Arabidopsis thaliana: one gene and its partners. The protein of the gene in region 3 interacts with the protein of the main gene of each other region in a pairwise test. Each region holds a gene or a part of one and is shown on either strand. Other genes may lie near its edges. The genes, in order: AT1G10650, AT3G05000 and ERF13.

Region 1 (4,786 bases), on a different chromosome or scaffold from region 3:
TGTAACGTTACAAAAGAAAACTATAGTACACATAATAATAAATTGATTGCGTCTGTGTGGTTGCAACCACTAGAAAACCTTTTGCTTTTTCTTTTTCAAAAATTATATTCCCTCTTTTTCATTTGGATAAATTAATATTCCTATTTTACGAATGTTAACAAATTTTTACACGATTTAATTTTATTAGTGCAAAAGTTTTCCAAGTAAGTAAACTATAATTACCTTCCGACAAATCTGGCGTGCGACGGTTTGGTCTGGTCCACGTTTCGAGAAAGTCACGGTAACTACTCTATAAGGCTTCTTCTTCTTTATTTCCCCGCCAAAACTTACCCGCCATATTTGCCCAACGACCAGGCGCGTGGATCCCACTCGCAAATAAACGGCTCCTTTTTCTATTATCACACCAAAACATTGACTGAGATCACGGCGGACACGTTCTCGTTGATACCTTCTCCGTTACCGTCGCATGAATTTGAGTAAGTAAATGGGGATGTCAAAAAGACAAGAATACCCCTAGGGTTAGTTGACCATCTCTCTCCTTCTTCTTCGACTGTCATAATTCCCACACTGTGGAATCCGTGTCCTGCCTGACTTTGAATTTGACGTGAAACCATTATTCATTATTCATTATTATTATCTCCGTTCACATCTTGTATATTCATTTTATTATTACATTATAATAAATATAAAATAGGAAATACAGTGTGTTGATGGTCGTTGAGTGATTTTAAAATTAGGGAGACAGAGTTTGATTTTTCTATATAAAAATAAATAGTTCTCATGATGTACATAGCAACATCTGTGTTCGTCGTTCGTGGTATTGATTTAATCGGTGGAATATTTTAAATTATATATATATATATATATATATATATATATATATATCAATAACGCCTCTCATGGTATGGACTTCCAGAGAATCCAATTTGAATTGTTCACATGTAACACCCTACATAAATTATAATTATCTGAAAAATTTCAATGGTTTAATATTTCATATTTTGATACGTTTCAAAATGACAAATCTCTGCCGTAGTAAATGATATTCGATGTGAAAAAAAGAATCCTAGTTGATATGAAATGGCTTAAACTAGATACATGTGGAATCATGCAATGAGGTATTTATACTATTTCCTTACTGAAATTTAATCATATTCCACATTTTTAAATTACCTTATTCTGTATTTTTTATTTTTTGTTTTAGTCAAAACAATTTTTCAAAAATTAACCCTAAATTAGTAATTTCATTAAGTCATTTAATTAATAACAATGTTGGTGATAAACACGTTTTAAAAATATAATCTCACTATTTTTATTCAAAATCTTTAATGGTTGTATATATACCTTCCATATATGCATTAGCAATATAACTTCATCAATGATGAATCTAGTAAAACTTGTTATGTAACGTTTTGCGAACTATATTAAGCAAAATTGTTTTCAAAATTTGACTATTCATTTCCATATCCTAATATTACACATCTCTAATTAATATAGTATCAGTCAAACCTATAATTTTATGGGATTTGTAACAAAAAAGAAGGAAACCAAAAACAAAAAAAAAGAAGGTAATAATGAAAAGTTGGCGTAATGAAAGAGAAATACACAACTCACGAAAGAAAAGACGAGAAAGCACCACCAACGGTTCTTGTTTGGTGTTTACATTTACTATCAACCATTTTTTGTTTCTTTTCTCAAAGTTTTTTTTTGTTTTGAATGATTCAAAAAAAAAAAACGTATTAATAATTTCATATCGAAAATCGCCAACCCAACTTCCCCCACTTCTTCCACCACTGTCCCGCTCCATCGCACCCGCTTTGCTTACCACATCCATCATTCATTCATTTCCTTTCTTTCTTTCTTCTTCTTCCGTTTCTTTTGCCTCTTTCTTTTGTCTTCTTCCTTCTATTTTTTTGTGGCTTTAAATTTATTGGGTTTTGTTCTTCTTCTTCTTCTATAGCCGTTTCATCTTCACAATAGCATCTTCTTCTTTTTTTCCCTGTCAAGATCCTGAATCATCGGTTTGTCTCTCTCGATTTCTTAACCTCTTTTTTTTCTTTCTACAAAAATAATAATTATGGGCTATATAAAAAAGTATTTCTTTCTTTTAGTTGATGATGATTTTTGTTTTCCTAATATATATATGCAGGATCTAGAAGGAAACTAGAGTTTGTGAAATCAGATTAAATCTTGTGAGAAATCTCTGAAAAAGGTATAATTTTTATTTTCCTCTTCTTCTTCTTGTTATCATTTTTTTCCTTTTTGGGGAAGATTGCAATATTTTTAGGGTTTTCTGTTTCTGGGTTATGACTTGTTCTTTGAACTTTTGTTATCTTTCCATGTTCCTATAGATTTGCCTTATATCAGTATCTGTTAAGTTGCATATTTATATGGAACTTTGACTTTTGAACCAATCAATCAATCTCTTTTGTATCCCCTGTTTATCAGACAAACAATTCATAAGAATCTTATTGCTTAGGTAAAAATGATTATAATTCTCCACAAGTCTCTCTTTAGCATATAGATTTGGCATCAAATCTGTTTCTGTGATCCAGCATTGTCTCGTTTTACTATTCTCTGTTTTTTAACTCTGTTTGGTATTTGGTGTTCCAAATGTAAATAGACAATGATTCATGTTTTTTATTTGAGTATATGTGTTAGATTAGTTGCTTAAGACATGTCAGAATCTTGATTTTTCTATTCTTCTTCTTCCTTAGCTGCAGGTTTCTATACTTCTGTTAGTACTCTAATTCAACCGAGAAAGTCGAATACATACACACATTCATAACACTTTTGAGGAAGATGTTAAGTGGAAACAATGGAAACACTGCACCACCGGTTTTCATGAACGAGAACCAGTTGCAATACCAGACAAACCTACGATCGAATCAGCTTCACTTGCTCGGAAACAGTAAGTTTCGTTTTCTCTCATAATGTCCTCGTCGTAAACTAAACATCATTAAGAAACTTAGAATCTTTGTCTGTTTTTCTTTTTGTGCAGTGGGAGGTGGATGCACTGTTGATCCAGTAAACTACTTTGCTAACGATAACCTCGTTCCAATGATCCGCCCTAACAAAAGAGGAAGGGAAGCCGAAAGCATTAGTAACAACATCCAAAGACAACAGCAGAAGCTTCAAATGTCTTTGAACTATAATTATAACAACACTAGTGTTCGAGAAGAAGTGCCTAAAGAGAATCTAGTCTCAACTGGTCTGAGACTATCTTATGACGACGATGAACACAATTCTTCAGTGACTTCTGCTAGTGGTAGCATTTTAGCTGCTTCTCCAATCTTTCAGTCACTCGATGATAGTCTTCGGATTGATCTCCATAGACAAAAAGATGAGTTTGACCAGTTCATCAAGATCCAGGTACTGATTGTCTCTGCATGTAGGCTCTGTTTTTACGTGAAAAGGTTCTTCGATTCTAATGTTTTTGTTTGCTTTTATGTGGTTCAGGCAGCTCAAATGGCGAAAGGTGTGAGGGATATGAAACAGAGACACATCGCGTCTTTTCTCACAACATTAGAGAAAGGAGTGAGCAAGAAGCTTCAAGAGAAAGATCACGAGATCAATGATATGAACAAGAAGAATAAAGAGCTTGTGGAGCGGATAAAGCAAGTGGCAATGGAAGCTCAGAATTGGCACTACAGAGCAAAGTACAATGAGTCTGTGGTTAATGTCTTAAAGGCAAATCTCCAACAAGCAATGTCACACAACAACAGTGTGATAGCTGCTGCAGATCAAGGCAAAGAAGGTTTTGGAGACAGCGAAATAGATGATGCAGCTTCATCATACATCGATCCAAACAACAATAACAACAACAACATGGGGATTCATCAGAGGATGAGATGCAAAATGTGCAACGTCAAGGAAGTATCGGTGTTGATAGTGCCATGTCGGCACTTGAGTTTGTGTAAAGAATGTGATGTATTCACTAAGATTTGTCCTGTATGCAAGTCTTTGAAAAGTTCTTGCGTCCAAGTCTTCTTTTCTTGATTTGTGACCAAATGGAACAGAAGGAAAAAGAGAATCCATTATATAAGTCTTTCATACTCTTTTTAAAAAAATATTTTGTTATATAAATTTATTTGTATCGGTGTATTATTATGCATCTGTTTTAGAAGATCCTAGAAAAGTTATGAAATAAATTATTTATATGGATCAGTTGTCTTGAAGCAGCCAATGTAAAACAAACGCATGGTTACCATGAGCTTCGATTTTTGTCATCTCATCAACAATCTGATTGCTTTTGGATATGGAAGGGCTACTACTACTACTTTCGATTCATAGACCACACTTTTATTTGGGCCAACTACTGGGTCATTTGGTCCTTAAGACAAAAAAAAATAAGGGAAAAAGTTGTAGGTCAAATAATGGGCCACGCGTATCAGCCCATATAAACCAACCCGTACTTTTTTGAATTATATAACATGAACCGTCGTCTTATATGTAGACTGCATCTGCTTCTTAGTGGGCTCGAAAAATATTAGAAAAGCCCATATTGGCTTTTATATTAGGTCTTTTCTAAACAACGCATTGAACCCAACCAGAAATAACTGATTAAACCGGTAAATAGCCAATTAAAACCGGAAATACGCGTCTCGGACAGAGATGAAGTTGTCTCAAATCAAACGTGTCCGAAATCAATTTGTTCAATGCACAACGAAACCTTGTTTAGGGAGAACCAGAGCCAGCTTTGGATCCAATCTGGTTTTGGACTTCACGTCATTTGTCTTATTAGTTTACGTTGGTAATTAGAGGTTTATCAGAATGCCGTTAGGTG
Region 2 (3,834 bases), on a different chromosome or scaffold from region 3:
GAAAGTGTATCTAACAGTTATGAACACAAATCTACCTTGAGAAGCAAATCGAGACCAATGACAAGCCCCGAGATGAGGAAAGTTCGTGTTAATGCTTCAGCACCGCTTGCATAGTTTCCTTGGAAGAGAAAGGCTACCAAGCTTACTTCCAGAAACAACATTCCAGATGTTGTGAACAAAGTTAACAAATTCCAAATAACTTCTTTCCCCGGAGTGCATTCCCATGCCTAAACTCATGAAAAGTAAATTCAAAACGAAATCTGGAGTAAGACTAAATCAGGTAAAACATTTCCTGTTAAGCAGCATCTAACCAAGAAATCAACACTAATAGCTTACACAAAATACAAAAGCTTTCTAATCACCAGTGTAGAATAAAAACAATGTTGATAAGATCGCAAAGTTTCTACATTTACAGAGCCTAAAACACTCTAAAAAGCATTCTTCTTCAATCTAAGTTCTGATCTCTTTACACGCAACATAGGTATGAGTTACTTGTGAAATGAATCGAAGTAAAGAAGAGAACTTTAACAAACCTGAAGGCAACACCAAGCAAGATTGAGCAAGCTAACAAGCCAAAGAAAACCATAATAGGCAATCATAATGTAAGATCTCCGATTAGACAACTTGGACAAGCTCTTCTTCGCCTCGTACGCTAAGTAAGCGACGAATAGAATAGATGCTAAAACCAAAACCGTGTTATGAAGAAACCCATGACACTTCCCGACCCATCCGCCGATAAACCCTCCGGTGGCCGTCGAATCAGGGCTTAGCCGAGAAATCACGAACGGTGACTCCGCAATCTCGCTGAGCACTCGCATTTCATCAAATTGTACGAATCAGAAACCAAGTAGACTTAGCGCAAGGAGCGGAAAGCAATCCCTAGTTCCAGAAAAGGAGCTCAATTTCGAGATTTGATGTTTTTGCGATACAGAATTCGTATGAATCGTATATTTCTTCTTCTCTCTGGCGACCAAATCCATACACTTGACGCAAACATGAGTAATTACACAAAAGTTAAAGGGTATTATAGGTAATTATCATCGCTTCTCCCACTTCCACTCTAAAACAAAAAAAAAAAACTATCATTTTTCTCATCCTTTTTATTTTTAACTGATTTTACATGTGATGTTTAAAGAGTTAATTATTGGACATGTGATGTTTAAAGAATTTAAATATTATTCTTTTCAATTCTGTATCTTAAATTTGAAAGACTTATTACAAGCTGATCTAATTTCAAAATCAATCTTATGAAATGTAAATTTTTGAAGTGCTATTTAATAATCAATAATGTGTTATTCTTTTTAATTAAATTAGAAAACGTGGGAGACAATTGTCTCTCTTTTGCCCACCAAAAAGATATTAAAAAAGTCCTATTCAATAATCATGATTTATTTATTTATATTTATATCTCATATTATACAAGTAAAATTGATTTTTAACCATAAATGATCAGCATTCAGCACACCAAAAGTAATTTCCATTCACTTGAAATAATTGTATAAATCGGGTATTTGAAGGAAAATTGAACCAAGACGATCCGGTTTAAATGTCAGAGATTAAGGTTATCATGACTCTTTAAAAAATGAAGTCACAGATCAGAAATAATAGAAAACTATTAAGGACTTAAATGTAAATACTCTACAAGTTAATAGATCGGAGCTTCGTTGCATAAGCCCCAAACCGGTGGAGAGAAGACGGAAAGAGTCTGAGAGAGAGAGAAGAAATGGGGAGAGAAGTGGCGGAGAGCTGTGTAGACACTATGTTAATGGAGATGGTGGCGATGTACAGTGGCCGATTCTATGCTAACAAGCCGGAACTCGCCGCTCGGAGGATCGAGGCCATTGGTTATCAGGTCGGCCACCAGCTCTCCGAGAGGTTTGTTTTACACTTGATCATCGTCTTCTTTCGATCTGGTTGATCATTGTATCTCTAGGTTGCTAGTATTAGTTGTAGATCTGAAGATGATGGCGAATGTATATCGTTAGCAATGATTCTCTTTGATATTGGATTTATCGTTTCTCGTGTGTAATTGGCTGAGAATGTGATAGATGGGAAGATATATGGCGCTGATTCGAGTTTTTTTCTCATTGCTCTAGTGGCTAATTTTTGTATTTAATCGTGCAATGTTTTGGTTAGGAAATTTTCTTGTTGTCTCAGAAGAATGATTCTCTTAGTCCCTGATTAGTTATAGTGTGTGTGTACGAAGAATGATTTTAGTCTGTTGAGGCATGTTTTGTTGCTTCTGAAGGTGTTTGCCTACATAAAAACTGTTTTACAGTGTTGTATGATGGCAGATATTTAGCATTTTACTTGATTGTGCATAACTTCAGCCTTTTTTATGTCGTTAGGTACACTATGGAAAGACCAAGGTTCAGTGACCATCTAGAGGCAATCAAGTTTATCTGCAAAGACTTCTGGTCTGAGGTCTTCAAGAAGCAGATTGATAATTTAAAGACAAATCACCGGGTAAGATAACTGGGATTTTACCTGAACAAAGACCAAAACTCTTCTTGTGTGTGTTATTCACAGATGGAATGTTTCTCTTCAGGGTACTTTTGTATTACAAGACAACAAGTTCCGGTGGTTGTCTCGTGTCTCAATTGACCCTTCATCTGAGAATGAAACCCAAGATCCTTCTACTCCAGGGGAAAGCAAAGCTGCACAAGCGGTGAGCATGTACCTCTATTTCCCGTGTGGAATCATTAGAGGTGTCCTCTCCAACTTGGGGATACCTTGTGCTGTCTCTGCAGATATATCAAGCCTTCCCACATGTGAGTTCACAGCTTGCTTTGCTTGTTTTCGAAATTCTTATATTCTTTCACTTTCTTCTATATTCTCAAAATCACACATTGGAGGGAAGAAAGATAGAAAATTATTTCAAATATTGCTTATTACCTGTCATTATAAGTTGCTTCAGTTCGGTAACTATCCTTGTCATGTCCTCACAGGCTCTTTCGTGATTCGGGTCAAGGCTTGATTCTGCATTTAGCTCGAGTACTTGGCTTTATACTTTCAAGGAAGATAGATCCTTCGGGTCTGATCAATCTAAAACCCATTGCAGGCTTCTGTTTGCTGTTCTTTTGACACACTTTAGCCTTGTGGTGCTTGTTTTAAACAGTGAGGGCTTGGTTTCATGTTTGAAATGACTTTTATTTTTCTGTTGTAAATTTTTGTTGATATCTTATATACAGTAATTCCTGATGCATCTCCATTTCATATCATTTTTAAAAAAGGCGTACATTTGGGAAAACTTGAAAAACTCTTTTTGAAAAAATTTATACTACAAAAAAAAACTAACTCGATATCCAAATTCCAAATCGTTTGGTTTAGTGGAGCTTTCTTCTCGGCCTTGGTTAGCCAACTTTCCAAACTCAGAAGAAGTCACTGATTTGGGAATTAGGTCTGGAATCCACACTCTTCTAAGGTTCTAGAAGACAACGATTGTTATGTTTTAATTTGTCTCCTATTCGTTCCATGTAATTTTTAGTTTTTTTTTTGTTCTTGTGAATCTGACTCCTGTGTAAGGTGGTTTGACTTCTTATTCTAGGGTTTCAATTTCTCACATCTTTATGTCGATTCTTCATTTGTTGGTAGTGTTCCGGCATCTGTCTTTGGAGACGTGGTTCGTAATCATCTGATTGTTTTGTAAATTATTTTTGGTTGAGTGCTCATAGAGTCTAGTTTAAAAATCTAATGTTGGTGTTTTGCTTACTCTTGAGTCTTAGTGTGACGGTTTAGAACTAGGAACTTCTAGGTTAATCAATCACAATTATGAAAGTAAGTAGTCTGACATGATCCGAATCAAAACAGAGTTGGATTACTATGAGCGACGCT
Region 3 (3,416 bases):
CTGCCTATCCCGACAATGGGACTACCTCCATTGCCCTCAACATTGCCACAACCATCTCTACCAACTCTTCCCACAATATGTTGTATTTTGGAATATTGTTTTGGGTGATAATCTAAATATTCTTATATAGGGAAAGAAAGACGTGTTCTGGATTCTATGATGGTACTTCGTGATATCATTATTAGTTTCACACCAAGAGCAGACTTTGTGTTTCCATCACATTACATACCATCATGACAACCCATCAACTTCGACTTCCACATCATGTAATGACTTTGTTTCAAACGGAAACCGGAATAACTAACTATATAAATGTCTCAAGATAAGCCTATCCAACTTCCTAAAATCTTCCAATGCTGACAATTCAAACCACTCAACAATTCCACAAATGGAAAAAGACTAGCCGTGACAAAACGATAATAAAAACACAAATCCTATGTATCCCTACATGATACATCCTACTATCTTAATTCTTAACTAATGGGCATGCTCTAAATAGACTAGTAAGCCCATGATTAGTAGAAATATAATACATCCCACATTGATTGTTACTTGCTCTATTTGAAATCTTTTTTTTCCTAGTTATATAAGAAAATAGATTATTATAGAAGTTTTACTATGGAACCGAATTTAGAAGAAAAAAACAAACGTCAATATTTAATTTCCATCACATTACATATGATCATGATCAAAACCTGTTGAGTCATCGATAGATATTTCATACAGCAAAACTCGTTGGACAAATTTTGCTTAATCTTAAAACTAATTATATCCGATTATCAGAATAAGAACATTCTGATTGGTCCATTAATAAACTACCATCGAAGTAAAACTGATCCACCGTGAAATCCAACTCCGGTACAACCAAACTAGACTCGCCGTCATCCACGTGGCTTTCCCTCTTCTGCTCCGACGTTAACTGATCGGAGACTGACGGTTCCGGCGAGCGACGGCGAGGCCTAATCCTAACCGGCTCATACTTACAAGAACCAATCAAATGCGGAAAATTCAGCTTAGCTTTCGATCCTCTGAGCTGAAACGCCGCTCGGTCGTACGCCACCGCCGCGTCCTCCGGCGTCTCGTAAGTCCCGAGCCAAACCCTAGCTCCGTTCTTCTTCGGATCCCTAATCTCCGCCGCGAATTTCCCCCACGGCCTCCTCCTCACTCCTCTGTACTGCATCCCCTTCTGCCTCGGCGCGTGTGAGCCACTCGCCTTCGTCGCCGGAGGCTTATTTTCCTCCGCCGGAGAGGTAACGGGAGGAACGGAGGGTGTCCAGCCGGAGCTAACGGCATCACGGAGAGTGTTGTAAATAGCCATGTCTTGAGAATCGTCGACACTTAACGGCAAGTCGCTCCAGTTATCGTTTAAGATAACGTTGCTGAAACTCGGGTTACGGAAGTACATCCGTGAGTTAACGCCGTTATTAACGGAATCAGATGAGCTCATAATGGATTCTTGAATGCTTCTGAACCGAAGAGAAGGTTTTTGATGAGAGTGTGTATTTTAGAGAGTGAGAGATGTTTTCTTCTTGGAGACTAATGAAGTGAAGAGATAAGTAGTTGTGTATGAGTTTATAAAGGTATGGAATGAGAGAAAGTCCATGGAAGGTTCTTTGAGGTTTTGATTTGATGATAGTTGTTACGTTCTTAGAAGATTCGTTTTCTTCTTTTTTTCTGTTCTTTTTTTGCCTCGTTCTTAAAATAGAACAGCGACAAAAATATTAGTTATTTATTTTTGTTTGGACTTTTGGTCTTTGGTCTTTCTTTTTCAGTAATATTTGTCTTTTTTTCTATAGATGATCTTGTTCTTCGATTTCTTTTTTTGTTGTTGGCTGTTCTTTGATATTTTGTAACCCAAATCATTATAAAATGATAATCCATATATACTTGACGATTTTAAATAACTGATTAAGAAATTAGTTAAATTCACTTTTTGTGGCCTATCTGTACTCACCAAAAATCCATCTATAATAAAGTTTTTTGACGAACAAAAATCAATCTACAAGATCTTAAACCTTTTTTGTTAAAAAAGAATCCACCGATTTAAAAACTAAGAAACTGTATAAACTCATATATATCTTTGGATGTTAATCAAATAATGTTTAGTGCTATATACACATAATAGGTTTTCACTCGATCATCTTTTGCCATTGGTTGCTTAAATAGAGTCAACTTTGTAAACTTTGTCAAGATTCATCAAAGTGAACAACAACAACAACAAAAAAGAGAGAGAGAGAGAGAGAGAGAAGAGCAAATATAAGTTATTGAAAACACTTGAAACGCGCAATACAACAGTGGAAGTCAAGAAAGCTATGGAAAATTACAAGATTCGTTTAGTCGTTAACGACGAGTCTAACAAAGTATATTAGTACATAATACAAAATTTTCCGGTATGAAATTGAATATAGGTAGTTAGTTACTCACCAATAAACAAAAGATTAGATTCATTCTTCGTTTATGTTTTTTCAGGAATAAAGTATAAATCCCTCCAAATTTAAAACATTAATAAGCAACTCCCATTAAAAAAATAAAACTAATCGGAAACAACGCAATTTTCACGTGCTGAATGTAATAAAATATTGTTAAGTCTGACGTCGAAAGGTTAAGTCGACCCACTGTGACTGTCAAAGACACGTTTTCTTAATTGCGACTTTCGTTTTATTCTCTCTAATCGTTCCTTTCGTTGCAACAACATCTCTACACAGACAAATGCAAATCGTTTAAATAATTATATTCAGTATTTTAATTATCGGAATATAAAAACGCCAGTCCTCTTGTTTACGTACAAAATAACAAAAACGTCGTGCACATATACGTGGGAAAGATGACGTGAGAATATTCTACTAGGTTTTTTGATAATGGGCCAAGGCACAAGTAGGTGATGCCTTGTGGAAAAGCCCGTTAAAGTCGGCTTAATCAAAAATCAAGTGGAGTAATAATAAGACCAACGTCCTACGCAACGATTTGGAGTCTTATCATAAAGCACCAATTAATCCACATGGCTGATGGCTGCTTTGGACATTAAAAAGACGAAATGTGTTATTAAAATGGATGTTTTGTTTCAACTATGGTTTACTATTTTGATTTCTTTCAACATAAGTCTTTATTTAAAGAAAATCACTGTAGAAACTATTCCTTGTTTAATTAGTTAAATACTATAGCTGAGAAGATTATAGAGAAAACACTAATCCAGTCATTAATTAACGTATAAATGAAAAAAGTGTATCATAGTATAACCTTTTATCGTTTTACCTATATGATCCCTATTCCCTAGGACTTGGCTTTTCTTTTTTGTTATGAAATGTGGGGATTTTTTGTTCATGTAGTTCCCAGCTACATGTTCTAATGAAATGAATAAAGACTAATCTCATGCTTGTTCGTTAATCATATGTATAAGTGATATAAGGTGATGATTA

Evidence for each region.
Region 1: the proteins of ERF13 (region 3) and AT1G10650 interact in a two-hybrid assay, tested with the Arabidopsis thaliana proteins (one large-scale study listed by BioGRID).
Region 2: the proteins of ERF13 (region 3) and AT3G05000 interact in a two-hybrid assay, tested with the Arabidopsis thaliana proteins (one large-scale study listed by BioGRID).

The regions. Positions count from the first base shown.
Region 1 is NC_003070.9:3,523,335-3,528,120, reverse strand, and holds AT1G10650 (SBP (S-ribonuclease binding protein) family protein), read left to right. Parts: upstream 1-1,589; 5' UTR 1,590-2,021; intron 2,022-2,149; 5' UTR 2,150-2,212; intron 2,213-2,717; 5' UTR 2,718-2,802; coding exon 2,803-2,911; exon of another isoform or gene 2,912-3,001; coding exon 3,002-3,372; intron 3,373-3,459; coding exon 3,460-3,999; 3' UTR 4,000-4,135; downstream 4,136-4,786.
Region 2 is NC_003074.8:1,386,587-1,390,420, reverse strand, and holds AT3G05000 (Transport protein particle (TRAPP) component), read left to right. Parts: upstream 1-1,589; 5' UTR 1,590-1,723; coding exon 1,724-1,875; intron 1,876-2,348; coding exon 2,349-2,466; intron 2,467-2,548; coding exon 2,549-2,771; intron 2,772-2,948; coding exon 2,949-2,977; 3' UTR 2,978-3,246; downstream 3,247-3,834. Other genes in the region: Cand2 (Protein of unknown function, transmembrane-40), read right to left, coding at 36-227, 534-818.
Region 3 is NC_003071.7:18,493,471-18,496,886, reverse strand, and holds ERF13 (ethylene-responsive element binding factor 13), read right to left. Parts: upstream 1,673-3,416; 5' UTR 1,448-1,672; coding exon 767-1,447; 3' UTR 560-766; downstream 1-559.